Linked DNA regions of Pelodiscus sinensis. The protein of the gene in region 1 purifies or fractionates together with the protein of each later gene. This does not show direct contact. Links are inferred from orthologs where the notes say so. Each region holds a gene or a part of one and is shown on either strand. Other genes may lie near its edges.

The links.
Region 2: the proteins of MAP4K4 (region 1) and RAP2C purify together in Homo sapiens (affinity purification with mass spectrometry; 3 studies listed by BioGRID and IntAct, counting the BioPlex papers as one, with this or other methods). This does not show direct contact. The link is inferred for Pelodiscus sinensis from reciprocal best matches to the Homo sapiens genes MAP4K4 and RAP2C.

Annotation. Positions count from the first base shown.
Region 1 is NC_134711.1:230,987,321-231,002,370, reverse strand, and holds the start of MAP4K4 (mitogen-activated protein kinase kinase kinase kinase 4), read right to left. Parts: upstream 6,733-15,050; 5' UTR 5,836-6,732; coding exon 5,779-5,835; intron 5,317-5,778; coding exon 5,251-5,316; intron 1-5,250.
Region 2 is NC_134723.1:45,812,989-45,828,338, reverse strand, and holds RAP2C (ras-related protein Rap-2c), read right to left. Parts: upstream 7,712-15,350; 5' UTR 7,521-7,711; coding exon 7,248-7,520; intron 4,337-7,247; coding exon 4,058-4,336; 3' UTR 4,018-4,057; downstream 1-4,017. UniProt on the Homo sapiens protein: Small GTP-binding protein which cycles between a GDP-bound inactive and a GTP-bound active form. May play a role in cytoskeletal rearrangements and regulate cell spreading through activation of the effector TNIK.

The DNA.
Region 1 (15,050 bases):
GGGCCCCATTGTGCTTGACACTGTACAAACCAATGCAAAGGACAGTCCCTGCGCCAAGTGCTCGCAATTTGATGTAAGACAAGATACAGAAAAGCAGGTCTGACAGACAGATGGAATGGGGGAGGGAGGCTGACAATACCAGCAAGAGGAACATGTGGTTACCCACAATTAGCAGGTTGTATTTTTTTAAATAAAAGCAAATATCAGTAATCCCCACTGGCCACCTGCCTACCCTTTGTATATTTAATTAAAATTATTGAGGGGGAGTGAAGGATGATCAAAAAGTTCAGTGATCTTTCTTTTGAAAATTAACTCAGAATACATTTAGCTTTAGGAAGAAGAATACCATTTTTCTGCATCACAATGATTTTGGCATTGCTGCTTCCTCCTGAGAAAACCCATCACTACACAATTGAATTCCCCCAGAAAGTAAGAGAGCTAAAAAGGAGGGCAGCTCATCCTTAAATAAGCTGGTCTGAGCCAGTTCATGAAATCAAGTGACATCATTGATACTGAAACACAGTTTGTCTTCATAGTGATAAGACTGGAATTGTATTCACATTTAACATCATCATTAGAATTCACAATGTTGTCTGTTTACTAGCAGGAGAACAAAAAAAAAATCAATTGGCTATTAGTTAGGAATATCAAGCTCAAAAAAATGAAGCCACTTTTTAAAATAAAACTGCATTAAGATAACAATAGGGTACCCTTAATGAAAGAAAAATCTCTCTCATTTTTAAACTTATTTTTAAATAATCATTTACAATCATTATATCTTACATCATGTCCTTTCAGAAGCCAGAAGTTAGACAATATGAATCATTTACATGCAGTTTGGAAGACTGTGACAGAATTCAACAAAAGAAGCCTTCACTATGAATTAACTCTCACAAGGCTCTTAGAAAGCAACACCAGCATGAAATAAGGGTAATTAGAACTTTCATCCCTAATTTTGAGCTTCCTAGCACTGCTCCATTATGTCTCTAACCTACCAGGGACCCTTCTCCCCCTAGGAACTAAAGAAATATGAGGTCTCAAAATACATGTGTGAAAGAGAAAAGTGACACCAATGAACAAAATCTTTAAGATGTTGATATCTTTGTTATCTTTTTTAAAAGTGCAAGAGAAAAATCACATTATCGTACTCTACATGCATTTCCCATTGAAGTTAATTTATAGAGTATGTATCTATAAACAATGTGTTTAAACGGATCTGAAATTAATAAGATTCTTGAAGGGTCAAGGAATATTCTTAAGTTACATAGCCCTGTTTCTGTATGTTTTACCAAATCAATAAACAGAGTTTGCTACCAGACTTAAAGCTCTCAGATGAAATATGGTGAACATTTTCATTTGGGGTGAATGTTACCCTTTAATGTAAGATTTACAATTGCGATGTGGGGAAAAAAATTTTAATTACAGAAGTGCAAAACTGCTCCTGCAATATTTGCAAATGATCTCCAGAATTCTAAAGACACGTGTTGCCAAATCAGTGACTAAATTAGAGCTACACTTAAGTACTCTGATAAAGTTGGACTGAGTTAAGGACCAGAGGCCACACTATATGAAGGCTTCATTGTTTCAAAAGACAGAACAAAACCAACCCCGATAACACCATTTTCCTGCTAAATTCCATGCCATTTGGGTAATTCCCTGTGAGTGTACAATAGTAGTTAAATAAAGAGTAGAAACCCTGGTAACACTCAGTAACTTCAATAACTACATTTTTCTATTGTTTTTTTACAAAAAAGGTATTGAAGGCTCCAAAATATAAACAAGGCAAACACAGGGTAAATTTTCTCAACAATTACATCAAACCATTCAAACTTTTTTTGTGCAAGAAGGGAATATATGCTTGTGGGCAAGTCTCTACATGCCATTTAGCTCAAGATCAGCTGATATCAACCTGTTAAAGAGAAACTCCTCTCTCAAAATCATAAGAATTTTTGCTCTCTAAAATGTGTATTATTTTTTAAGCAAAAGGCCTAATAGTTATCTACATACGTCCATGGTAATTCAGAGGCTAACTCTCCTCACCGTGTCTCATAAATGTTAACTCTTTTCTCCCTCAACTAGAACAAATACCATTCACTCAGAACACCTTCATTCAGGGATTTCTTATTATTCTTTTTATATTTCAAAAAACACTCAACTTCTAGACAAGTTGAATTTTTCTTTCCTTCAGCTATGAAGTTATCTTTTGAGGGACTGTTAATCTTTTAGACTCTGTGACAAATACTAATCAATTAACTAATCACCCTCTACTAAATATACAATTGCCAAAGAATTTCCATCTTAGTCACAAACAGTGCACTGAATCTCATGCACAGTTTTTTCCTATTCACCTTTGCATCACATGCTTTTCTTAAGTGCAAACTGAGTCTCCCCAGGGCAATGCAGAGGCATAAGCAAAGCTATGAAAGAAAGAAGAAAAATGGGGGAAGCTGCTGATTTCAAAAGGAGCAGCTGGAAGCTCTTTGGCTCCAAAGTTAGCAGGCAGTGTGACACCACAAAGATCCACCAAAGTCCATGTGGCTGCATGCGGGTGAAGGCTCTGAACATGTGCTGCTCATTTCAGGACTGGAGTTTATATAGGCACCTACAACATGGTTTAGGGGCCTAATTTTAGGTGCTCTTAAAAAAAAAACCACACCCCTTGGGCTTATTTTCTTACATGCAGGGAAATGTTCCAAAAGAGCACTGCTGAGGTTGAGAAGGGAAGAGACTGACAGATACGTCTATCCCTGTCCCCTCCCCAGTCTGAAATGAATGAAGATCCCTAGAAAGGCAATCAGCATAAACAGTCATGTATGTGTTTATAAGCTAGACAAAAAGACAACAAAATACACTGCCTTGGGGTAGTCTCTGCAGCCACAGAAAGCCAGACAACCATATCCCTCTGGTTGGGATGGCATGTCAGTGACGGCAACACACAAACAAGGAAATAAATCAAAACAGCCATGTCTGAAAACTTCTACCCATTGTTTGTCAAATGGAAATACAATTTTCTGGCATCAAGGCATGTACTACAACCATTTGCAGTCAAAAAGTAAAAACTATAAACATCAACATATTACAAGGATGGAGCTGAGGAAAACAGGGGCACACACTGTTCAGTTAGTGTCAGAGGGGTAGCCGTGTTACTCTGTCATTGAAAAACAATGATTAGTCCTGCAGCATCTTAGAGACTAAAAAAAAAAAAAATTACAGATGGTATCATGAGTGGATTGTGCCCACGAAAGCTCACCATACCATTTACTGTTCAGTTAATCGCTTATTTTCCAAAAAAGTCAAAACTTTTTATTTAAAAAAAAAAAATCACACTCATCTTTGAATGACACTGGATTTAAAAAAAAAAAAAAAAAAAAGAACCAACAGTAAAACCAGGAGGAAATAAAATATTAATTTAGGGCTCTATGTTGCATTCTCTTCACACTGAAAACTCAACTGCACAAAAATCTCAGAATGACACCATTGTTTATATTTAAAAAAAAAAGCCCTATGGCATGTTTTGGACAAGTGTGGTGTGGCTATACTAGGACTACATACAGTACCACCCCACTTAGTCAAACACCATCTAGTGTCAGAGAGGTTTCCTTCTATAACAAAGCAGCATTTAAATAACTTCTAGACTGCAGTACCCAATCACCTTTTCCCAAAACAATTACTGGGGGGGAGGGAGAGATATTATATCTCTTTTTAATACAGAAAAAAATAACACTTGTTATGCAGAAGCCAGAGCTCAGACAAACGTTAGCTTGTGTGTCATCGGAGTAAAGTGACTGCCACTTAAATCTGGTATAATTTTCTATTGTTTCAAATTCATATACATATTTGTTCAGCTTAGTTTTTTAAAACAGGTTGCCAAGAGTATTCTAGGATACTTAAACAAAATGAAAAATTTGCATCCATTGTCAGTTAACCCAACAATGAGCACACTAATTAACTTAAAAGTATTATCAGGTAAGTCAGCTAACAATGTGCCAACTGCAATAATTACAAAGGGAGTTTACAGTCACACACACACCCTACTTTTTCTTTTAAGGAGGGCTCAGGTGATGCAAGCTTTGTGGGCAGGAAGATGACAGAAAATAATTATTAAATGGGTTAGCCTGAGGGAGATGTCAAAGGTCAGCCTCCAATCAATCTTCCTATCTTACTCAGGCCTGTTGAGCCATATGGTTTTCCAACTTTGGCACACAGAGACAGCCAAATTACTTCATTTCTACTATTAAAATTTAACTTGTATAGCAAGGAGACACATGCTGTCTCTCAATCAATGAGACTAACATTCACCCTTTTAAAACAAACCTAAATGCATTTTGTTAATCGAAGACACACCAAACAGCTTATTTAGCCATGTAATGATGGTAAATTGTCTTACTAATAAGAGAAAACAATGTTCTGTTATTTCCAATTACTCTCCCTCCAATCCCTTGCATCTGAACATGAACAATTACTGACTTCTTCAATCCTTACCCCATTTACTATACTGTATGGCTATTCACTATTAATCACTCATAACTGCTGCTCCTTACAAAGTCATGCAATCTCAGATTTACTTTTTCCACTTACTAAACACTGTACAGAGTAGAGCTGTTTCACACCCACATGAGCAATATCTTACTTCTCACTATCCTCTTTGGCTACCCCCCACCCCCCAAATCATCCACTTGTCAAACAGGTTATTCTCGGAATGCTGAATTTATCTCCAGACAAATAAATCTGTCCTACTTTGGTTGCCCCCCTATCACTTATGCCCTCTCCCCAGCAGGAAATGATGCCACACCACTTAGCCTGGACTTTGCATCTTAAGAATTCTGAACGTTTTCAGCAAGGCAAACTGGTCACAATTTTAAGTGAAGTCAATGCTTTGTTTAAACACAGAAACAGTGTCTGCCATTAGAATCCTTCTGATTTTTCAATGAGCACATGTCTACTTATATGGACCCTTATCAGCACAGTATACTTGGAGCAATCATTTGCTTTGTTCATTTTATAAAATAAACCAGGAAGATCATAGACCCAGTCAGAAGAGGTAACTCTGAAGTCATTTGTTCCCCCTTTCTGAATCCCAGTAGTGTCAACTGAAAAGGTAGACGTTAGCTGCTCTGTCCAGAAGAGATTTTTTTGTATTGTTCTTAACTTTTGTGTGCAGCCTAGGGGGCCCTGCCCTCAGATGTACAGTAAACAAAGCAGGGGAGTAGGTGTTGTGCAAAGAGAGATAGAAGAGAAATTGACACAAACCTTGTAGACTTGCCCATATGTGCCATTACCAACTACTTCCACCAGCTCAAAAATCCCAGCTGGGTCCTACAAGATACAAGAGGGGGGATGGGGTGGGGGAGAGAAGGAGGGTTACATTTTTTGCAAGGCGCTGGCTCATGGCAGAGAGAGTCTTGTAAAACAGGGTCTGGAGCGAGAGAGGATGTTGGCGGTGCAGCTGTTGCGCCCTGTTTTTTCCACGCACATGCCAATACATGCAAACAAAGGAAAGCAGCTCAGGGCTGAACTCTCCCCCCTCTCCCCACACACACACGCGCGCGCGCACCCCCAAGGAGCTCCCACTCCGGGGGGGGCGGGCCAGCAGCAAGCAGGCCGGCCGGCCAGCAGTGTCCCTCCCGGGCGGCAGCTGCCCCCCCAAGCTGGGAGCAAAGCCCCGCCACTCCTCGGCCCCCACCCAGCCCCGCCGCGCTCCGGGCTCGCCCTAACAAAGCCCCGCCAGAGCGCTGCCCCCGGGGTGGGCGGCGGAGGCAGCCCGGCGCCCGCACTCACCCGCAGGGAGGAAAGGTCGATGTCCACCAGACTTTTCGCCGGAGAATCGTTCGCCATCTTCCCTGCTCTTCGTGTGTCTGTGCGCGCCGGGCTGCCAAGCCCCGCCGGGCGGCTGCACGAGCTGCTGCGCCCGCCTCACGCCAGCCCCTGCTGCACGGGGCGAGAGGCAGCGGCGGGCGCTGGCCGGGCTCCCGGCGAGGGAGCTGGGGTCGGGAGGGTTTCCCCCTCCCCTGCTCGCTTCAGCTGGGGCGAGCGTGTGTCGGCAGCGGATTTACACCATGGGGAGGCGGCGCTGGCAGCTCCCAGCCGCTCTCTGCCCTGCACGCCCGGGCACGGGCATTACACAGCCAGCGCCGCTCCGCCAGCCCCGCTCCGGCATAGGGCGCTCGCACCCGCCCGGCGCGCTACCAAGGAGCGGTCCGCGGGCGCCCTGCTGCTGCTGCTGCTCCTCGCCGGGGCTGCCCGGCTCCGGCACCCGGGCACAAGGCACTGGGCAGGGCGCTTCCGTGCCGACCTGCAGCGCTGGGCTGAGTTGCGGGAGTGAGACAAAGATAACCACGGGAGGAGGAGAAAAGCGACACCAAAGAGACCGTGGGCAGAGAGCAAACAGCTCCCCCTTTCCTTCTCCGGCAGGAAAAACCAGCGGAAACACACAACACCCCAAAGCACTTCTGGGAAAAAAAAAAAATCCTCGGCTCCTCTCCCAGCCTCGGCGTGTGAGTGTCTCGGCGGCTCTCTCCCTCTTCAGCAGGGGTGTGGCAGAGAACAATAGATAACTAAGTCCGGCCTCACTCCGCGCCGCTCAGGGCGCTGCCCTGCCTTGCCCAGGCGAGGGCTGGAGACACACATCACACCACCCCACCCCCCTGGTAACAATACACGCTCCAGACGCGTGTTAGCCACAGAGACCCAGCCCAGCGTCGTCTAGAGCAAATCCCCAAGGCTAGTCGAAGGAGGAGGAAAGCAGAGGAATTCCCAGATCAAGGTTGAAAGGGCTCGCAGATATTGTCCAGCTCTGAGGGACACATCAGGATGAATAAGCATGTTTGCCCAGCACTTTGAACGTGCACAACACTATGGAAGGGAGAAGCTGTAGTGACACCTTTCCATCAGCCTTACTATATCTGCTTCTGCATAATGGAAGGATGAAATTAATTTACCCCTTGAGGGCTGCCAGCAGCGTTGTTATAGGGATCACAGCGCTTAGCTGAGTTGCACAGAATGTAAAAATGTTTTTTATGCTACTTTTATTAAGTGACCAAAGGGTATTGGGGAAACATGGTCTACTAAACACTCTTACCAGTACATTCCTAGGAACGTATAGTTCCCTACAAGGAATTACTCAAAATCACCATTGTTACCTCGCCTATAATGTGGCTCCAGTTGATTGTCAGTAAAGGGTAAAGCTAGGGCTATTGCAATGAGTTGTTACAAACAAACACAAATCATCCTGTATTAATCTACCCTGAGACCAACATGCTTCAGTGCAGGGGTCGGCAGTCTTTTCAAACCAGAGTCAAACTACATTAAAATTGAGAACAAGTGGTCAACAAAGAGCAGCATAAGAATGCCCATTTGCATGACTGAAAATATCCAACTTAATATGATTGATAATTGACATGATTAATTATAGCATAAATGAAATGTACTCATAGACTTTATTTAATGGGACTTCTGCTGCTGGGGGTGCAGTTTGCAGATGTGAGGGTGCAGGAGTCAGGGATGGGGTGTATAAAGGGCTCAGGGGAGGTGGCTGGAGGGTGTGGGAGAGGCAGGTCAGGGTGCTGGGGGAGGGAAGTAGAGTATGGGGTGCAGCCTTGGGGCTGGATTACCTTTCCTGGCCAGGGCTGGGCTGGGCTGGGCTGGGCTGCTGCACATAGGCAGCAATGGCTGGATATGGGGCTGGAACAGTATCGCCACAACCAGATCGTGGCATCCCCTACTACCCATGCTGCAGCAGGAGGGGGGCCGCTGCCAGCCCTTCCTGCAGCCAGACGGGGGCCAGACCGCTGGGCCTGCCCTAGGATCGGGGCTAGGCACAGGCCGCTGCAGCCAGATGCGGGCTGAGCCCCAAATAGGGCGTTGTTGGTCAGGCTGCCGTGGCTATTGCAGCCAGGCTATTGCAGCAGTTGCAGGGCCATCATGGCTGGGCCACAGGGTCTGCCCCAGTGCAGCCAAGATGGAGGCATCTGCCACTGACAGCCCCTGTCACTATCCTGGCTGGGAGAGTGCATGCGTCCCCTCCAGTGCGCCCTCAGCTGGCCTGTTAAATGAGCAGAGTCCCACAATTGGCTTTTGCCACAGTGCAGCCGGTTCTTACTGGGGCACACCGCCTTACTTTCACCTCTGGTTAAAGGTGAAATAGACTCCAAAAAAAGACCATCTTGAAAAGAGTAATAACATGGTTTTTAAATTTTGGAATTAATTTTTCATTTTAATTTTAGAAGTTGCATCTGTTTTGGGAATGACAGAAGAGCCATGTTTGGTTCCATACTGAGCCATATTAGGCTAATGAACCATCGGTTGCTGACCCCTGCTCTATAGAGATGATGCCCTTCCAACTGCTAAAGCCACCTCAAAACCATTTCCATCCCAAAGACTTTATCAGAAGTTTAAGGCAAACAATAGCTTCCAGAATCAGACCCTGCAATCGGATAAAGGTGTTTTTAACGAATGCCTTACTGACAAATCTTGTTCCTGGAAAGACAGACAGCATGGGCATACATTTATTCACAGGAGTTGCTTACTTCATTTGGACTGCTTATACAAGTCATACATGCACACTTTTTTTCAGGATTGGGTTCTTAATTAAGTTCTCTTCCATATCAAAACAGAAAAGTTAATGTCACTATATACAAGAAAAAATGCTATCTATCTGCAAAAAGGTAGAGTTACACGTGTTAGCAACCCCACAGTTTTCCTGCTTCATTTTCCTTTAAAAGGTTAACCATAATATTGCATACAAATAGTTTCAAGGATTTGATTTACATTTATAGTAAATTTTAAGTTTTCTTAAATGGAAATATTGAAAAAAACAAAATTAACCTGTTGAAGAGTAAGAGTTTTAAAGTATCTTCAAAGTTTAAATGTTTTTTATGCAAACACAGGCCTGGATCATAGAAGTATAACTGCATATACAGAACTCAAGGTCCTTGCAAAAGCCCATTGATTACCATGGGATTTCAATGGCAGAATCAGGCCCCAACATTTTGCAAAATTTACAAGTATATTTTTACCCAAACATATTGATAAGAGGTTTCTTAATTTACATCATTGTGAGTGCTTTGTCCTTTTATGCCATAATGCATACACAGATTTACAGGTTCTACAGAGCTGACAGATTCTAGTGTTTAGGTAAGTCTTCCTCAAGATAGGGCCTAAAACGTTAGGAAAAGGCTCTGAGTTTTCTTTTCTGTGCAGAAAGCACCTAATACCTTGTCAGCACTATTGGAAAATTTAAAAAAAGTTACTGAAATGTTTGCACATTAAGCCTACACATAACAAGCCTGTGTTTTGTCTAAGTTTTGGTAAACCCCTGCAAGTCCAGAAGACCTCCCAGAAGGACATCTCTTTCACTCAAGCCCACTAGTTAACTAGCCAGCCCTTTCTTTCATACAAAGCACTGTTGAAAGGAGAGGAAGGAGTGTGGCTTGCATTAGGTCAGGAAGAAGGGTCTCCCTGTGCACACCTCTCAACCCCTCTCCCCCACCACCAAAATTATTCCCTGTGTAATGGCCATAGCCGGTTTTTCATAAAAAACTAATCCTTCAGATGAAAATTACAGGCCAAACCCTGTCCTATTAAAATGAGAAGCATTGGGAAGGGGTTTAGCAGCTCAGGAAACTCCACAAGGTTCCTTGGAATGCTCCGCTCAGATACTTGGGAATTCCTGGATGAGAAAAGAGGCACAGCCTTCAGGCACAGTAGATCCTGGTAGATTCCAGGGAAAGGAAAGCTTAGTGAGGAGTCATCTTTTGGCAGAGGTCACTAACTTTGATCTTCCAATGACTCATGAAGTCCAAGTGTCTCTGTAGGTTTCTGTAGGTCAGAGGGGAGAACATAAGTCACTGTAGGTCAGACAAGAGAATGATGCAGATCCAGAATGCTCCTTTCTATGTTTTCTAGGTCTTATTCCACCAGCTTCTGCTCTCCTCTGGTTACAATAGCAGAGGGGAACATATAGGTCCATGCCCAAATGTCACTGTCAAATTGTTTAGGCCCAATATTTATTGTTTATGAATGAGAGGTGAATACAAATAGAAATGCTTTCATGAATTACTCTTTACATTTAATTAAAGCTATTTTAAAATAAAATTTTTCCCTGGGGTGATGGAAAGTCAAACACAATAGCATTGTGCTGGGGAATGAGAGTCAGAGAGTGAAATTGACTATACAAGGACTATGACCTTGACTAGGCTGGTTTTGCTGTCCAAACAAATTGAAATACAAAAGGTACAAAAAAATCAAGAAAGCATGAAGAGTGCTTTTGATTTTAAAATCCTAATAAGTGAGGATGTTATTAGTAACACAGGCTAGCCAGAGCCTCAGGTACTTTGAAGCAACTTTGCACTGGGCTGGTGGTGAAATTTGTGCTTAAAAGGTTTGAACAGCCCAGAGAGGATCATCTCAGTGCACAGATGATTCTGCTGTGCGGAAAGCCAGGCTGCGTAGTGGTAGCCATGCTGGTCTCAGGATAGTAGAGAGACAAGGTGGGTGAGATAATACATTTTACAGCAGTTCAAAAGCTTCTCTCTTTTACCAACATAAATTGGTCCAGCAAAAGATATTACCTCATCCACTCTCTAATGCCAGAGTATGACATGTATTCTCCTCCTACCGGCATACCAAAGAAGGGTGATGTAATTGCAGGAAAGGAGCTGAAGGTAGGACACATCCCTACACCATATTGATCCTAGACTGCATTTTTGTAGTCGGCATAAGTTATAGAAGTCTGAGGCCATGTCTATACTACAAGATTAGGTTGAATCTATTAAGGTCTGTTTACTTTTTCAGCACCCCATTTTGTAAATTCGAAGGTGCATGTCCCCACTATGCACAAGAGTTCAATACAGTGCATCCCCAGTGGGGTGGCCACCTTTGACTTTGACAGCAATGCATTGTGGGATGCCATCCCACAGTTATTGCTGCCCCCTTTGCATTCTGGGTTAGGCTCCTAATGTCTGATGGGAGAAAAACAGTGTAGTGTCATCAGCTACCCATGGTGCACTTTTCTCCCTCCCATCCTGCTTGAAAGCCATAGCAAACGATTGTTTCACTCCCCTTTTTCCCTGGTTTTCTGTGTAGATGCCATAGTAAGGCAACCATGGACCCCTTTCAACTGCAAAGAGCCGAGGCAAGCATTGCAGATACCTCACGCCTTATGCTGCCGTGTGTCCAGGGCCTAGAAAGGAGCCGACAGAACAAAGAAGAATGCGAAGAGGACATGAACACAAACATGCATGAAACCATTGAATGGAGCAATGAGCAGATGCTGGCAGCATTCGATCCTGTTGACACAGTGGAATGCTGATTCTGGTGCCTTGAGACAAGCATAGACTAGTAGGCCCACGTTGTCCCATAGCTATATCCAGGGCTCGCCAAGCGGCGGCGAGCCCCGCTCACCAGCCACACGGAACCGCATGCTGTGCATGCGCAGACCACGCTGCGTGGCCGTGCCAGGCTAAAATCTACTCGCCCATTACATTAATTGTCGAACCCTGGCTATATCACTATCAGCAGTGGCTGCAAAACTTCTGTATGCATAAGGCCACTTTCCTGGAACTTTGCAGATTCCTTTTCCGCTCCCTGAAGCACAGAAATACCACTCTAACAGTTGAGAAGCAAGTAGTAATAGCTCTTGCTATTGGAAGCTTATAATGTCAGACAGCTACTGGTCAGCTGGGAATCAGTTCATAGCAGGGAAATCTACAATGTGGGGCTGATGTGATCCAAGTAGCAATATTATTCTGCTATGAAGGACAGTGACTCTGGGAAACATGCAGGACATAGTAGATGGCTTTGCTGCAATGAGGTTCCCTAGCTGCAGGGGAGCAATATATGGAACACACACCCATCTTGGCACCTAACCCCCTTGCCAAGGAGTACATAAACTGTAAGGGGTACTTCTCAATGGTGTTGCAAGTTTTGGTGCATCACAAGGTTCTGTTTCATTGACATCAACATAGGGTGGTTGGAAAACGTGTATGACAGGTGCATCTTTAGAAACTCCAGTCTCTTCAGAAAGCTGCAAGTTTGAACTTTATTCCCAGACCAGAAAATTACCATTGGAGACTTTAAAATACCAATAGTGATCTGTGGAGAGCCAGCCTACCCCTTGCTTCCACGGCTCATGAAGCCATACACAGGCATCCTGGACAGCTATAAGGAGCAGTCCAATTACAGACTGAGCAAGTGCAGAATTGTGCTTTTGGACATTTAAAGGGAAGGTTTTGCAGTTTATTAATTAGGTTAGAACTCAGCAAAAGCAACATTCCCATTGTTATGGTAGCCTGCTGTGTGCTCCATAATATTTGAGAGTGTAAGAGGGAAATGTACATGGCAGGGAGTAGGTTGAGGTAGATTACATATCTGCTAATTATGAGCAGCCAGACACCAGGACACTGAGGACAGCACATCAAGGGGCACTGCAAATGAGAGAGGCTTTAAAAAAAAGTTGTGAATGACCCAACTAGGGATGTGTTGCAGGGTAGTTCTTCTGTCCCTCACCGGGGGCACTGTTGAGCCCCTGGGCCTCGTGGCACCACACCCCACATCTTCTACAACCCCAACACAGTTATATCCCAGAGTCTCTTGTCCCCAAGACTATGTGGCCTGACAGCCAGAGTCCCTAGCAATGCCCCCTTCACCCAGGGCAGTGTGGCCTAGCAGCTGGAGTCTCTAGCAATGCCCCCTTCACCAAGGCAGTGCAGCCTAGCATCCAAGTCAGAAATGAAAGTGTAACATCCCCTTGGGGAATAAGGAGGTGGAGTAGAGGGACCCGGGCCCTCCCTCTCCACCAGGTCGTGTCAGTGGTGGGTGCATCACACCACTAGCTCCACCCAAAACACACTAAGCTCAGGAATTCAGTTCCGCACCCTGGTCCACTTCCTACCCTGTCAGGATTGCTGGCGTCTTCCCCACCTACATCCTCTGGGTCAGGCCCTTCTGTGGCCAGTCTCTGCTGCAGCATCCACCTGTTGCTCCTCCTCCTCTGGGCTGGAAGCCTCCCTGGCTGGTCCCCGCTCGCTGGCCTCCCAGTCTGGCTTCTCAGAGAGCTCACCTGCAGGAGCTCAGGAAGCACATCCTTCCCCCTTGTTACACTTTGGTTCGGTGATGTGATGGGAGCCTCAAGGGTTAAAGCCGACTACCCAGTGAAAACTACTGGATGATGGTGAAACAAATTATTTTTATTAAGTGGAATGATTTTTTTTTTAATCAAAACTAACAACTAGGAAATGGTTTTTTTTAAACTAGCAATTGCCCAATGCTTTTACAGGGTAGAAAACTCTAAACTTAGCTGTACTTAACTAATTACAAACTTCTTTGATTACAATTCAACTATACCAAATCACTGTCTCTAATTTGCTTAACGAAAAATACAAAAACAAAGCCAATATAATGATAATAAAAACTCCGTCCAAAGCCCGCCCCTCTATGGTTATTTTAGGACAGCTGGTGGAGTTAGTCATAAATCTACTTTTACAACTTAACAACTCGGTGGCTTCTATTTCTAACACTTATACTTAGCCTAAATACAACACTACTATACAACACAAAATTATACAATTTAAACAGTGTGGTTAACAGAACTTAGATACACTTTACAGAATTACACAGTGAAATTAACACAATTTAACTATTAATTAAACTAATAACCAATATATTTAAGCAATACTTACAAATCCAGAAACGATAACAACAGAAAGACACACTAGAACTCGGAGCATGCTCAGGACTCGTGCACCCCTATATTTGACTCGAAGGGTGGGGAGGCAGCCTCAGGGTGATCAATCCTTTAGCCGGGAAAAAAAAAAAAGACACGTGCCCTCAATACACGGAACCTCCGTCGAACAAAGGGGTAGAGGGTCTTTTATACAAAAATTCGATGTCTAATGCCATGCTAGGGTCTGCATTTGGCAGGGCCTGATAAGCTAGTGATGAGGTGGTATGACAATACTGCCCTATAGGAATTTTCGTGATGTATGCGTGATCCCCTCGTGGACAGGACCAGATGGGGCATAGTTAGTGTGAGACAGTTGTGTTTTATTACTCTATGTTTGCTTTTTCCCTTGCCCCTAAGACCGGTCAAGCTACGGTCAAATGAGGCTTATCTGTAAATGCAGCTAGGTGCTATCTAGTAATGCTCACCTCCCTATTTTATGATGCCTGTGAGTCTCAGGATGCCTGTAAGGTCAAATTCCATTCACAAAAACTGCATTGTGCTTCCCATGCTCCTCTGAGTATCTGGGTTTTGTGTGAGGGTCCTTGTGTGGCAGGATGGGCTATACGCGAAGGCTGTGGACAGAAAAAGCCTGCTTTACAACACCCCTCAGCAGCCAGCCCAAACTGAGCCTCCCTCCAGGCTTTTATACCTGGTGTGTAGTCTGAGCATGCCTAGCAGGGCTGGGGGCAGGGCTTCTTCAGCCAGGTGGGCCTGATTAGGCTCAGCTTTCACAATGTGGGGCTGGTACACCCTGTCACAGGATGTAAAAATGCATGTGATTTGGTAACTGTGTAACTGCTACAGATTTTACACATGGGGCAGCAGCCATCTTCCTGGGATCCGGTGCGCACCGGGAACCTGCCTTTTAAGCTATCAGGATGCTGGCAGCAGCATGGGGTGGCAGCCAGCTCCTTGGGAAAGCCCTGGTCATTCTGCACCTGCTCAGCCTATTGTTGAAAAGCTCCTTGCTCTTCTCCAGTTTTTCTGTATAAAGCTTCATGAGCCATGTGTGTAAGGGTTACACTAGGCCTCCCAGTCCACCAAACCACTTTGAGAAACCTGCTAACTGGCTGTGCCAGTGTGCCACAGAGCCTTGCGGCTCCCATTGACTCTCATTTGCCATTTGCAGCCAAGGGAGCCGTGGGAAGAGGCGTGGGCTGGGCCACTTCTTCCTGTAGCTCACCTTGGGTGCAAACAGCGAACCAGAGTCAATGGGAGCCACGGGGCTCTGTGTTCACGGTGCATATAAGTAAATACACCAGAATGGCTAGTTAGTAGGATTCTCAAAGTGGTTTCGTGGACCACTTTGAGAAACACTACTGTACACACT
Region 2 (15,350 bases), on another chromosome or scaffold:
TTTCCCCAGCAGAAAGGCTGCACAGTATCACAACATGGTACTTATTCCAGTGATGTTAGAGAGGCCGTATACCAGAAAGTTGAAACCATCTCATTTTCAATACTAGGACCCTCTGAGCAATACTTAAAAAAAGCTCATAAACCATCAGAGATTAGGCTGTTTCTTTGTACGTAGGAGTACATGCGTAGCTTGTCTGTGTCACAAGTACAAACAGAGTCTAATAATTCTGTCAATGCAAGAGATGCAGCCAGCAATTCCATAATATCCAACACCTAACTGCTATGTCTTTGTAGCCCTGATGACCTGTAATTTAGACAACCACCTGTTGGGGTGGTCTAGATAATTCTTAGTCCTGCCATGAGTGCAGGGGACTGGACTAGGAGACCTCTCAAGGTCCTTTCCAGTCTACAATTCAAGGATTCTATTTAATGTCTTAGAAAGAAAAGTCTTAAAAATACAGTCACAGTTACAGAGACTGAGCCTTCCTTTGAAAGGATCCAGGAAACAATCTATCGTATAACACAACAGGAAAATACTATTTGAAGTTTTCATGGCATTTTCAACATGAAAAAGTGTTTCCTGTTTTGAATGATGTTTCTCTCTAGGGTGTCATGACCTTTCAAATTTCCTTTATCAATTCATCTGACAGTTGCAAAAGAAGAAAACACATCAGAGACTGCGTTCTATAATAGGAAAGTGATACAGAGTTTTCTGTTCCGAGCTTTAACAGCTCAACTTGCAAGGAAACTCAAGTGACCAACATTAACAGCAGGGCTCTTTTGGAGTTGAAAGTTTACTCCGCCCAGGGACTAAAAAAAGTGAATCAGGCAAGTGCTGGCACCCAGCCTCGATCTTCATTAGGAAAGTTTTCCAGACGGTTCCTTACTGTTGCTTACAACTCCTTTTCGCAATGCTGAGAACCGTACTGCTATCTGTTGGACCGGCTCTGAGCAGGGACACAGGACACGCTAAGAATGCCAGTTATGAGCCATTTACAAATAGGGCTCCTGATGCCAAGAGCTGAAGTGCTGATAGCCCCAGAGGGAGGTTTTCAGAAAGCAGCCCTAGCATAGACAGGGCTCCAGAGCGGTGTCCCCTGTAAGCTGCGCACATGCATACCCGCCCAGGAGAGCTTCTGTTTCTTTGGTGGTGCACAACAGCACACGTCCATGCACATAACGGATTCTGCACATGGATGGAGAAAAGCCCTGATACAGTATTTACAAAGTACCAGTCATTTAATGAGCAAATAGAACCATTAAGATTTTCTAAGATCTGCATAGCAAAGGCAAGTTGTGAGAGCCTGACAGTTTTGCAAAGCTGCATCAGCCAGAGGACTACTGTCCTCAAGGAGAATAAAAGTGGACACTTGCAAATTCAAACTTCAGTAAGATGCTTTCCCCTCACATCTGGATATGCACAAAGCTCCTACTGGTGTCAGGTTATCCAAGCACAAGGAGAGGCAGAGGACTGATCAAGAGTCACTGTGGAGATCACTCATCAGAAAGTATTGTACCAATTCAGGATACAAGCTGGTTCACGCAGATAAATTATTCCACTACCAAAGATACTGAATGTTGTTACATATTTCAAGGAATTTTCAGGGAAAGAGATTATCAAATTGAGGAATGAAAAGAGCAAGGGCTACAAGTAGAGATGTGAAAGTTTAACCATGAAAACAATTAACCAATAAGCCTGGGCTAATTGGTTAATGTTCACAGTTTCACACAGTGTGGGGAGACAGCTTAAAAGCTGGGTCCCAGGGAGCCGCCCGTCGCCCCACATGTAACCACTGAAATTTTACACAGTGACCCGGTTATTTAACAACATGCATTTTAACACCCCTAGCAACAAGTTGATAAATTAAAAGGTAACACATAAAAACTAGATATTTGTCTAAAAAGACTGCTAAAGGAATTTAAAAATAAAGCGATCAAACTACTAATCAGGAATAAGTTTATTAAATTTTGCTACTAAATTAAGGAATGGGGGACGGATGCAAACCACGTCTTCTTAACACTGGGTGTGATGGGATATTAGAAAATTGGGGAACCCAATAACTGTCACATGAAGGGATTGAAACAAAAGTTAAAGAAACTGTTTGAGAACATGATGTGAAAGGACAAACCAGAATGGCTTCTGCGAAAGAAAATTCTGGCTCTCTTTTTTTACACTAGAACTCTTTATCTACTACGTTGATGATGTTTGAAGAACAGCAGATAATTTGGTCTTAGATGAAATTTCTCACTAGAGGGTGCTAAGGAAACCAAGATGTCACAGAGTGATGAAGTAAATTGTGTTATGGATGATCAGAAACTGACTAAAATTTGCAAGTGACATTTTAGTTTAGTCAAGGCAAAAGGTGTTCAAAGTTCAGAGGGAACTAACTCAGTGATGTCCATCCATCACCATGTGCTCACCAGAAAAGCCTGGACAGGTGAGCAGACAGCAGGAGAGATGTGATTCAGTGTTGACAAATGCAAGATAATTCCTTCCAGTGTGCACTAGCTGAACAAATCATACATATTGCTGGGTTCTAAAGTGAACAGATTCTGGGAAGAGAGGTGGCTGTCACAGACCAGATCAGCGTGCAGTAAAGATTTTTAAAAAGGAAATACGATGCTGGGACTCTAGAATAGAATAGAATAGAATAGAATAGAATAGAATAGAATAGAACAGAACAGAACAGTGATTCTCAGGCTGTGATCCATATCACTGTGCCAGAAGAAAGAAGCTGCTGCTACTGCTGAGGGTTAATTTGCCTGGAACTCACATGAGAAATAGTCATGTGACTAGCTGACATCTGGTTTGGTTTTACTCTCACTGGTATTCTTAAAATAAAACTAACCTCGCAGCATTCTGAGTCAAATAAAAGGCAACGTTCTGTCGCTTCTCTAGTCATAGCAGTACTGCTCTATCAGTTCAGTGGTCAGGGGACTAACCAAGCACCTCAGTTCAATTTTCTGCTGCACCAGACGTCCCATATAACTGTGAGCAAGTCAGCCTTTCTGTGCCTTGGCTGCTCATCTGTGAAATGGGGACAGTGATACTGCCTCACCTCACAGGAGTGTTGTAAGGCCATCAGTACATTAAAGATTGAGATACTAAGTAGCAGGGGTCATATAGGTATTTCACACCCACAAACTGCTTCATAAATTCAATACATCTTAATTAATGGAGAGTTCCCTGTATCCCCTCTCTTGATATTGATGTGTACAGACAACCTTCAGCTTCAAGTACAATATCTTCCCTATTCTTCCTCCTCCAAGAGAGACTCTTGGACTACGACAATTTTCCCAGGGATTATGTCCTGACCTCTTTCCCACAAGGTTGCTGAGTCACAGCCGCCATGAGGAACGCAGCGGTACTCATTATACAACACTGTTGCCTGTCTTTATATATACACAAGCAGCAGTGCTAGAGAGGGAAACTGACCCATGGCCTTTGAAGGTCAACCAGTCGTGCAAGTGAGTGACCAGGCTGCGCGTCTCTACAAAACTCCACCTTTTCAGTTTTTTCAGCTAGAATGCAAGACCCCCCCCATATATATTTTTTTCAACTCAAAATACGGTCACTACTTTCAACTACAATTCAACTATTTTAAATATAAACAAATTACAAACCAATACAATCCCCAACTTCAACGTGATTTATTTGGAAACCAGTGTTACCACTTCTCTCCAGCCTTTAGTCCAAAGGTTATTTGTATGTTGAGAGGGGTGTTGGAGGGGCCTGTACGTGGAGTTCACCAAATTCATTCATTCTGAATGGCTTCTCTGACCAGATTAAATAAACCTCATCATTTCTTTTTCAGGCCCTGAAGTGTCCAGCACAGAGAGCCAACTCCCGACTTTCACCAGACATCACAGCAATTATCAAAAGTGAAACCAGCATACAGAAGTTAGTAATAAAATGGACATTACAGGAACTCCCATAAGCCAATGCCTTAAACACTTTCATCTGCTCCTTCAAACACAACAATTAATCATCTTAATGAATTATGAGTATTCAACCCACCTGCTCTGTATGGCCATGACTGAGGTTTTTCTTTATTTTCTCACTGGACAATGCAAGTTGTACAACACTGATCTTGTTTTTCAGGAAGGGACGCATAGTTCATTTGCCTAACGATCTCGGCAAACAGTTCATCCACCATGGTTTTACTCTTGGCTGATGTTTCCATGAAAGGACAGCCCCACTCCTGAGCCAAAGCTCTGCCTTCTGCAGATAAGACCTCCCTCTCAGATTCCAGATCCACTTTGTTCCCGACTAGGATTAGGGGGACTTTTTCATATCTCTTCACTCGAACAATCTGGTCCCTCATTGGCTTGATATCCTGATTAAACAATCCAACTGGTTAATACACTTATTATACTAATCACATTTTAAAACAGTAATCACATTTGATTGCTGTAAAAATTAACACTGGTTTCAGGAAACAGATCACTGTAAAAACATGTGTTTTAACAAGCCACAGGTCTTATGTGTAACTGAAAATAAACATAAAAGCTTAGGAAAAATTCCTAAATTGATACCTTGGATTTAGACTAGGGTGCGTCAAATTCAGACATTTATCTTCCATTTGTAATGCCTATGCTTCATTGCGCTTCCTGTGTGTTTAGAAAAAGCACTACTGCAATGCAAAATTACCTCAAAAACCTTTTGGTTATTACTAGAGACAGTCAGGAATTGACAAAACAGTTTTCCATTGAAAAATGCAAATTTGTCAAAACCTGAACTCGTTAAGAAGATTTCTTAGGTCCAGAAAGTCATTTTCGGCCACACCCAGAATGGCCTGGTGGTTAGAGCACTCACCATCCCAGGTGAACTCCCTAGGGTGGGTATAATTTTCTGTGGAAAGTTTCAAAAAGGTCTCAGTTTCATTCTGATTAAGAACCGGAAACACTGACATCTCAAGTGTTTTCATGGGCTGGGTGACCAGTTTCCTTGCCCAGCTCTAGTTAAGATAAAAGCAGATTTTGTGTAAGTTACACGTTTTGAACAACTGAATCAATTTTCTGGTCGTCAGCAAGATTTGCTGCAAAAAGAGAAGCTTGCCTTTAAACTCATGACGGAAACTGAAGTCTACAATACGCATCTATGTTATGCGATCACTTAGATGGGAAACTTGTGGCCAGTCTTCTGCCTGAGAAAGTTAATTAAATGTTTAACGCGCTATCGTCTCCCCCAAGCTACTTTTAAGTAGCTTGCTTAAAAGTGTTCACTGTGAACACACATACAGTTGGTTCTGCCTAAATGACAAATTTAGATACAATCAAGACATGTGAATCCCAATAATCTTCCCAAAGGTGAAAAGGGAAAAGACATTTGTAAGCTGTACTTTTGAAACAATAGCTCCATTGCCTCCACCACATCAGATTTAAGATTTTAATTTGTTACAATAAAAAAAGTGTATAATTTCGTGCAAGATTCTGGGACAGAAATAATTAAGTGCTTGAGGCAGCCACTGTTAACAGAACTTCATAGGGAGATTTACACCTACACTGTTTTGATTAAATGTGCTAAAGAAAAAAAAAACCAAGTGACTGAAGTGGAATATATTCATCCACGCTTCATTTTTTTTTCTTAACTATGTGCTTTGAGGGAAACTTCCCCACTCCTAGGTCAAATAAAACTGGGGAGAAACATCCCAGCATGATTGTAGTTCCTTTGCAAAGAAAATAAATCCCTAACTTGCACACAATTTATCTAGGTATGTACCCTCGTCTAAGATAACATTCAGCCTTCAGCAGAAACATTCTGCCTAAATGGAGGGTATAAAAGATTGTGCCAAGCAGCTGGACTACACCCAGGTCAAGGAACCTAAGTGAAGCCAACAAACAACATCCACATCTCTGCACTTACAGTGTTGCCAAGTCCAGTTATTTCCCACAGATGGAAGCTGCTTATTACCAGAAACAATTTAGGCCACTTAGATTGTGGGATTTTTCTGCTTCTTGTCAGTTTTTGCAGTACAAATTTGTGCATTGTGAATTTAATTTTCACATGTGACCTGTCTTTTTCATGAACACACCGCCCACACTGTGTGAGCATCAAGCTAACACTTGATGGCAGCTTGTTATACAGAGAGAAAAATATCAGGGTTTATTAGCAAAATTCACAAGTTATAAGATAGCAAGTTCAGTTCAGAAAGCAGGCACTCAGCCACCCTTATGAGATTAACTGCCAAAATATTCCTTTTAAAAAAGCAGTGTTCAAAAGGACACGGGTCAAATCTAACCCCAAATTTGGATTTTACAAACATTTATTTTTAAAGATGACTTCAGACATATGCTTTATTTACAAGAGTCCAATGAGAATAGTGTTGCTACCTCTGTATTGTAGCATCCACCTAATGCTTGGTAATTTTCCCCATCTATACTAAGAGTGTACAAAACAGCAAAAAGAAGGCACCTCCCTCTTAATGTGCTTTTGATATTAACAATATAAATTGTAAAAAAAAATGGAGGAGGAGTCCAGCGGAACCTTAAAGATAAATATATTGTTTTGGGCATAAGCTTTTGTTGGCATCTGACAAAGTGGGCTCCAGCCCACATAAGCTTATGCCAAAATTAATTTGGGAGGCCTTGTCTATACTTACATGGAGAGCAAACACTGGCGATCGATCTTCTCGGGTTCGATTTAGCGGCTCTAGTAAGGACCTGCTACTGAACGGTGATGGCAACCCCTTGGGGTCACAAACAGTTGACGGGAGAGTTTCTCCCATTGACCTCCTGCACTGGGACCGCCCCAGAAATTCGGTTTAGGGTATGTAGACTCCATCCCTGCAATTCTCATATCTGAAGTCGTGTACTTTAAGTCTAATTTCTGGCATCATGCTGACCCGCCCATAGTCTGTAAAGTGCCACAGGACTCCTGGTTGGTTTTGTGGAAACTGACTAACACGGCCACCCATGTGAATGCGAATTGGGCTTTGCTCCTGCTGAAACATTGCTTTTGGGGGGAGGAGGCTAGCCTGAGGACACAGTGGGCAGGGAGTCCGTTCCAGCCAAACCCGCCAGGCGTCCGGTGGCACCTCACAGACTCACTGACGGATGAGGGCATAGGCTTTCCTGGGTGAATCCCACTGAGCTGATGAGCGGGAGGGGAAGGGACAGCAGCAGGAGCCTGCTGGGGTGAATGAAGTGTCCCACTGGCAGCACTCTGGTGCGGGCGGTGGCTCTCCACAGGGGGCTGCGCTAGCCAGCTGGCCAGTCCCCCTCTGGCGGGTCACCCCCGGGGCTCACCTGGAAGCTCTGCTGGTTGACCAGGCTGTAGACCAGGATGAAGCCCTGGCCGTTCTTGATGTAGAGGTCCCGCATGGAGGCGAACTGCTCGGTGCCCGCCGTGTCCAGGATCTCCAGCACGGAGGGCGACGAGTCCACCTCGATCTCCTTGCGGTAGAAGTCCTCGATGGTGGGGTCGTACTTCTCGATGAAGGTGCCGGTGACGAACTGCACGGTGAGGGCGGACTTGCCCACCCCGCCCGAGCCCAGCACCACCACCTTGTACTCCCTCATGGGGCCGGGCCGCGGCGGGCGCGCTGCGCCGGGCCGCTGGGGGGGGGGGGGGGTCGCTAACGGCCGGCGCGGCCTCGCGCCATGGCCCGGCCCGCGGCTGCTGGGGGGCGGACCGCCCGGAAGGGTTACACCGCGCACTTCCGGCCGCGGCGACACCGCCCCGCCCCCAGCCCTGTCGGAGGGGGACCCCGAGCGCGGGGACACCGCCCCGCCCCCACCCGCCTCAGGGGGGACCCCGAACGCGGGGACACCGCCCCGCCCCCACCCGCCTCAGGGGGTCCCCGAACGCGGGGACACCGCCCCGCCCCCACCCGCCTCAGGGGGGACCCCGAACGATGTGACACCGCCCCGCCCTCACCCGCCTCAGGGGGGACCCCGAACGATGTGACACCGCCCCGCCCCCACCCGCCTCAGGGGGGACCCCGAACGACGTGACACCGCCCCGCCCTCACCCGCCTCAGGGGAACCCCGAACGATGTGACACCGCCCCGCCCCCACCCGCCTCAGGGGGACCCCGAACGATGTGACACCGCCCCGCCCTCACCCGCCTCAGGGGGGACCCCGAACGCGGTGACACCGCCCCGCCCCCACCCGTCTCAGGGGGGACCCCGAACGCGGTGACACCGCCCCGCCCCCACCCGTCTCAGGGGGGACCCCGAACGCGGTGACACCGCCCCGCCCTCACCCGCCTCAGGGGAACCCCGAACGATGTGACACCGCCCCGCCCCCACCCGCCTCAGGGGGACCCCGAACGATGTGACACCGCCCCGCCCTCACCCGCCTCAGGGGGGACCCCGAACGCGGTGACACCGCCCCGCCCCCACCCGTCTCAGGGGGGACCCCGAACGATGTGACACCGCCCCGCCCTCACCCGCCTCAGGGGGGACCCCGAACGATGTGACACCGCCCCGCCCCCACCCGCCTCAGGGGGGACCCCGAACGCGGTGACACCGCCCCGCCCTCACCCGCCTCAGGGGGGACCCCGAACGCGGCGACACCGCCCCGCCCCCACCCGCCTCAGGGGGGACCCCGAACGCGGTGACACCGCCCCGCCCTCACCCGCCTCAGGGGGGACCCCGAACGCGGCGACACCGCCCCGCCCCCACCCGCCTCAGGGGGGACCCCCAACGATGTGACACCGCCCCGCCCCCACCCGCCTCAGGGGGGACCCCGAACGATGTGACACCGCCCCGCCCCCACTCGCCTCAGGGGGGACCCCGAACGCGGCGACACCGCCCCGCCCCCAGCCTGGGGGCTCCCAGTATGATGACAGCGCCCCTCCCCCACCCACCTGAGGGGGGCCCCTAATCGTGTGACCCCCACCTCTCGCCCACGGGGAGGGCCCCCACTATGGGGAGGTGACAGCGCCCTCCCCCCGAGCCCCCAATCCCTAGCTCCGGGCCATGCCACACAGCTCTGCTGCCACCTGAGGAAACAGCCCCGGGTCCAGGGCTGAGCTGTGGTGGAGCAGTCGGGGGTAGGGGCAGCCCCATCCTGTGTCCTCTCAGCTCGGGCTCTTCTTCCCCACTGCCTGGGCCTGTGTCTCCCCCAACTCCCAGGAGCCGGGCCCCAGCTCAGTCTGGCACCTGGAAGGGGAGACAGCATTCAGGGACAGAGTCCAGCACTCCTGGCCCCCAGGGAAACCTTTCAAGCAGAGACACCAGCCTCTTAAAAACTTTACTACAGGATCTACTACAGACCAGCTACCCCCACAGAAGAGGTGGATGAGACTTTTTTTTAAAACAACTAACAAAATCATCCAAAGCACTGGATTTGGTGATGATGGGGGATTTCAGATAGTCAGATGGATGCTGGGAAACTAGCACAGCGCGGCACAGATTATCTAAAAGTTCTTGGAGTGCATTGGAAACAACTTTTTGAGAAAGCCACTGGGGGGAAGCTGTTCCAGATTTGATTTTAACAAATGAGGAACTGGTTGAAAATTTGAAAGTGGAAGGCAGCATGGGTGAAAATGATCATGAAATCACAGAGTTCATGATTCTAAGGAATGGTAAAAGGGAGAACAGCAAAGGAAAGACAATGGATTTCAGGAAGGCAGATTTTAGCAAACTCAGGGAGCTGGTAGATAAAGTCCCATGAGAAGCAAGAGTAAGGAAGAACAAGACAGTTGACAGTTTTTCAAAGGAACATTATTAAGGGCCCAAAAGCAAACTATTCCACTACACAGGAAAGATAGAAAGTATGGCAAGATTAATCTCATTTTGTGCCTTCGTCTTTCTAATCTTGCCCCTACATTCTTGTGCTATTTGCTTATATTCATCCTTTGTAATTTGACCCAGTTTCCACTCTTTATATGACACCTTTTTCATTTTTAGATCATGTAAGATCTCATGGTTAAGTCAAGGTGGTCACTTGCCATACTTTCTAAACATGAGTCAACAGTGTGACACTGGCAATAAAAGCAAACATGATTCTGGGAGGCTTTAACAGGTGTGTTGTGAACAAGATATGAGAAGTAATTCTTCTCCTCTACTCTGTGCTGATTAGGCCTCAGTTGGAGTATTGTGTCCAGTTCTGGGCACTACATTTTGAAAAAGATGTGGAGAAATGAGAGAAGGTCTAGAGAAAAGCAACAAAAATGATTAAAGGTCTAGATAACATGAACTAGGAGGGAAGACTGAAAGAACTGGGTTTGTTTAGTTTGGAAAAGAGAAGACTGAGAATGGAACATGATAGCAGTTTTCAAGTACCTAAAAGGGTGTTACAAGGAGGAGGGAGAAAAAATGTTCTCCTTGGCCTCTGGTAATAGGACAAGAAGCAATGGGCTTAAATTGCAGCAAGGGAGGTTTAGGTTGGACATCAGGAAAAACTTACTGCCTATCAGGGTGGTTAAACACTGGAAGGTTGTGGAATCTCACCGGAGATATTTAAGTGCAGGTTATCTAGACATCTGGCAGAGATGATCTAGATAATGCTTGGTTCTGCTGTGAGGGCAGGGGACTGTACTTAATGACTCCTCAAGGTCCCTTCCAGTTCTAGTAGTCTAGGATTCTATGATAACTCAGGTAGAGATTCAAGATTCAGGTAGAGTCCTGGCCTGTATTTTTTTTTAATCCCACTTAAACCAAACCATTGGAGAAAGAGGGAGACTAAGATTGGTTGGGTGAAACTAAGATTCGTCCAGATCATGATACATTTTGATATTGCAACATTTCTTGCAAACCAGAAATGCTGAAAAAGTGTCACCTTGGAAATACCAAGTTGGCATTTCCACAATGAAACATACTCCCCTGCACCCACTGCCCCAGACTGAAATGTCTCAGAGGGATAACCATGTTGTTGTTCAGACTAAATAGTTCTGTGGCACCTTAGAGACTAACAAAAATATACAGTATCATGAGCTTTCCTGGTCAAAACCCACCTCATCCACCCCAGCTCATCTGATTAAGTGGGTTTTGCTCACGGAAATTTGTGATACAGACTGAAATGGACATTCTGGTCAGCTTTATGGATCCACAAGACTTATCACTTTCAGCCGGCTCCTAGGACTCGAGGGTCTATGCATCAATGGCTGGGGATCATAAGGTTTCCAGATTCCTAGTCCAGCTGGCTCTTAGGCTGCCCACTTGGGCACTGAGCTTTGAGACATGGTGGGCACCTATCCAGGGTTCTTTGAGCTTCCAGGCTGTCAGATGTGGATCTGAGAACAGCACCAAGAAGAGCCAACTGCTGCCCCTGGGCATTCCAGCTTCTGCCTGCATGGCAGGGAGGCTGGAAGCCCTGACATGGCAGTGTTGCCCTGGAGATGCAGCTTTGCAAACTCAGGGTCACCGTGAGGAAGTTCATGTGGCATGGTTGACTTGGAGATGTGGACCCCAAAAAGCCAGAGTTCCCACCAACCTGCTAGGGGAACTGAACTGTTGGAAACCTGCCTCTGATTCAACAAAAGTTTTGTTGGGCTGGACTTGCTTTCATAGACATTTCAGGTTTCATGAACTAGTGTTTCACCACCAGCTCTCCTTTTGAGTGCCTCCCACAACTTGCTGAGGAGAACTCCCAACTATGTAACATTGACATCTCCTCCTACCTTGAAGGGGGACTCCAAAGCCTGTGATGCAGACACAGCCCTCAGCCAAAAGAGGGGTAGAGCCCAATCACTCCCATCTGCTCTCCGGGTAGTTCAGTGAAGCTCTGATTGCGTGGCAAATTGCGGGCATGATGCCAAAACCTAGGAAGGGCTGCGCTCTCATGCCTCACCCCTTCTACTCAGCATTACACATGCCCTCTTCCTGCTGATGCTTATCCTGCCTGCCTCCTTCTTCCTCATGCTGTCAAAAGGACTGTGCCCTTCCCCATTTCCCCCTCAAACTTCAGGCAAAAAGCATCACACAAACAGAAATCACATTCAGTGCTTGTTACTGGTAAACCCATCCTGCCTCTTTATTACTGGTTGAACACACCTCCCTTTCCCCACAAGGGGCCACATATTGCTGTCCAGAAAAGACTGAATGCCAAAAGCATACCACACAGCTCTGCACCCCTCAAACAGTCTCCACACCTCTGCAGGACACAATGAATGACTGACGGCTACAGCAGTGTGCTTAGATCAAGGGTGGGCAAATACCAGCCTGTGGGCCAGATCTGGTCTGCCAGGGTTAGCCCCTGGTGGGCCCCCACCCCACTATATTTTCCTGCACCTCCACAGGTACAGGGAGTACAACTCCCATTGGCCACAGTTTGCTGTTCCTGGCCAATGGGAGCAGCAAGTGCCCATGTCTGTGGAGGTGCAGGTAAATATAGTGGCAGTGACCCACCAGGGATTAACCCTGGTGAGCTGCCATTTTGTTTCCCGCCCCTGGGCTAGGTGCTCTCTCATTCTAATTCATCTCCCAGCCACAGGAGAAAGGCTCTTATTGACATCAGTGGAAATTGGATCAGGCCTTCTCTGAAGGTATAATACTCTTTGTCACATTAAAAATTATGTACCCATATCTCTATGGAAATCTGATTGTAGATGGCTACACCCCCTCACAATTTTCATGCAACAGGATTAGAAAACTTTTAAACCCCATATTTATGTTCACCTGCGACACCACCGATACTCTCATGAAATTGTATCTCATGGAATTGCAGCTGGCAAGGGATATGAAGGGTATCAAGAAAGGTTTCTACAGGCATGTTAGCAATAAGAGGGTGATCAGAGGGAGTGTGGGACCCTTACTGGATGAGGGAGGTATGTGACAAATGATGTGGGAAAAGCTGAAGGACTCAATGCTTTTTTTGGTCTCTATCTTCACAGACAAGGGCAGCTCTCAGACTACTGCACTAGGCAATGCAGTATGGGAAGGAGGTGGACAGCCCTTGGTGGGGGAAAGAACAGGTTAGGAACTATTTAGACATACACAAATCCATAGGTCCAGACTTAATGCATCCAAGGGTACTGAGGGAGTCGGCAAATGTCATTGCAGAGTCTTTGGCCATTATCTTTGAAAACTCGTGGAGATCGGGAGAGATCCTGGATGATAGGAAAAAGGCAAATGTAGTGCCCATCTTTAAAAAAGGGAAGAAGGATAATCCAGAGAACTATAGACCAGTCAGCCTTACCTCAGACCCCGGAAAAATCATGGAGGAGATCCTCAAGGAATCAATTTTGAAGCATTTGGAAAAAAGGAAAGTGATCAGGAACAGTCAACATGGATTCACTAAGGGCAAGTCATGCCTGACCAATCTGATTAGCTTCTATGAGGAGGTACTTGGCTCTGTGGACATGGGGAAGGCGGTGGATGTGATATACCTTGACTTTAGCAAAGCTTTTGATATGATCTCCCACAATATTCTTGCCAGCAAGTTAAGGTAATGAAGTATGGATTGGATAAATGGACTGTAAGGTGGATAGAAAACTGGCTAGACTGTTGGGCCCAACGGGTAGTGATCAACATCTCGATGTCAGGTTGGTGGTCGGTTTCAAGTGGAGTACCCCAAGGATTGGTTTAAGGACGCATTTTGTTCAACATCTTCATTAATTGATGAGGGGATGGATTGCACTCTCAGAAAGTCTGCGGATGACACTAAGCTAAGGGGAGAGGTAGATATGCTGGAGGGCAGAAATAGGGTCCAGAGTGACCTAGAAAGATTAGAGGATTGGGCCAAAAGAAATCTGATGAGGTTCAACAAGGCCAAGTGCAGAGTCCTACACTTGGAATGGAAGAATCCCAAGTATTGTTACAGAGTGAGGACCAACTGGCTAAGTAGCAGTTCAGCAGAAAAGGACCTGAGGATTACAGTGGATGAGAAGCTGGATATGAGTCAACAGTGTGTCCTTGTAGCCAAGAAGGCTAATGGCATATTAGGTTGCATTAGGAGTAGCACTGCCAGCAGATCTAGAGAAGTGATTATTCCCCTTTATTTGGCACTGGTGAGGCCACATCTGCCCCTGGAGTATTGCATCCAGTTCTGGGCCTCCCACTATAAAAAGAATGTGGATGCATTGGAGAGGGTCCAGTGGAGGGCAACCAAAATGATGAGGGGGCTGAAACACATGACCTACAAGGAGAGGCTGGGGGATTTGGCCTTATTTAGTCTGCAGAATAGAAGAGTGAGGGGGGATTTGATAGCAGCCTTCAACTACCTGAAAGGAGGTTCCAAAGGAGATAGAGAGACTGTTCTCAGTAGTGACAGATGGCAGAACAAGGAGCAATGGTCTCAAGTTACAGTGGGGAAGGTCTAATTTGGATATTAGGAAAAACTATTTCCCTAGGAGGGTGGGGAAGCACTGGGATGGGTTCCGTAGGGAGGGGGTGGAATCTCCGTCCCTAGAGGTTTTTAAGTCTCGGCTTGACAAAGCCCTGGCTGGGCTGATTGAATTGGGGTTGGTCCTGCTTTGGGCAGGGGGCTGGACCCGATGACTCCTGAGGTCTCTGCCAGCCCTATGATTCTATGATTCTAAGGTAGGCAGATCTGTGAATCTATACCTGCACTGGCTTTAATCTCAGTCAGGAGCTATTAACTCACCATGTAACAAAAAGGATAAGGTTGAAGGGAAACAATTCTTATTAACTCCGTAGGAAGGGATATCACCTGATAGGATAGCATACTTAAAACTGGTTTGGTCATGTCTACACAAGCAATATGTAGCCAATTTCATTAAAAGAAATTCTATATATTCAGTTTGCACTGATTAGAACTTGCTCCCCAAGGGACGTGTTAGTTGTGTGAATAGGTTCTTATCACAGTGCTGAGACTTGACTCTTTAGCTTTATTTGCTGTTGATTTTTGTATGAAAAGTCTTACAGAACTGATACAGAATATCGTGAAACAGAGACTAGTGTCCTATGGCTCTAGGAAATTATTGGTTTGATTACTTGAATTTTGTTACTTTTCTTGCTCTCCTAGTTTACTCATTGTCTTAGAGGACATGAGCTCAAGAGACGCTAGGTGTCAGTAAAGGATAGTAAAAAAAGTAACTGATGACTGAAAATCTGCAGAAATGACCTTCAACAAAGACAGCCAAATTACAGTATTAGACATTGTTTGTCAAACAGTGGGATTTCCCAGACAAAGCACTTCTCCTGTACATGTCAGTATGAAAATACAAGTGTTCCCTCCCATCCCTCAGAGGAACTGACTGGAAAAAAATTAATCACAAAGCTCCCACTTCCACTTTGAACTAAAACTCTGTCCCTTTTTAACACATTCAAATGTCATCCTGTGCTGACAATTTGTAGCATTCAGAGAAGAATCCTATTACGTCAACACACGATCTTGTTTGTTCCTGGATACCCGAAAACTCTGCTTGACAGTATCTGAAGTGAGCCTTCCATCCTACAGAATATGTAGGTACTATCCTTTTCCTCTACATGTTGTCTGTCT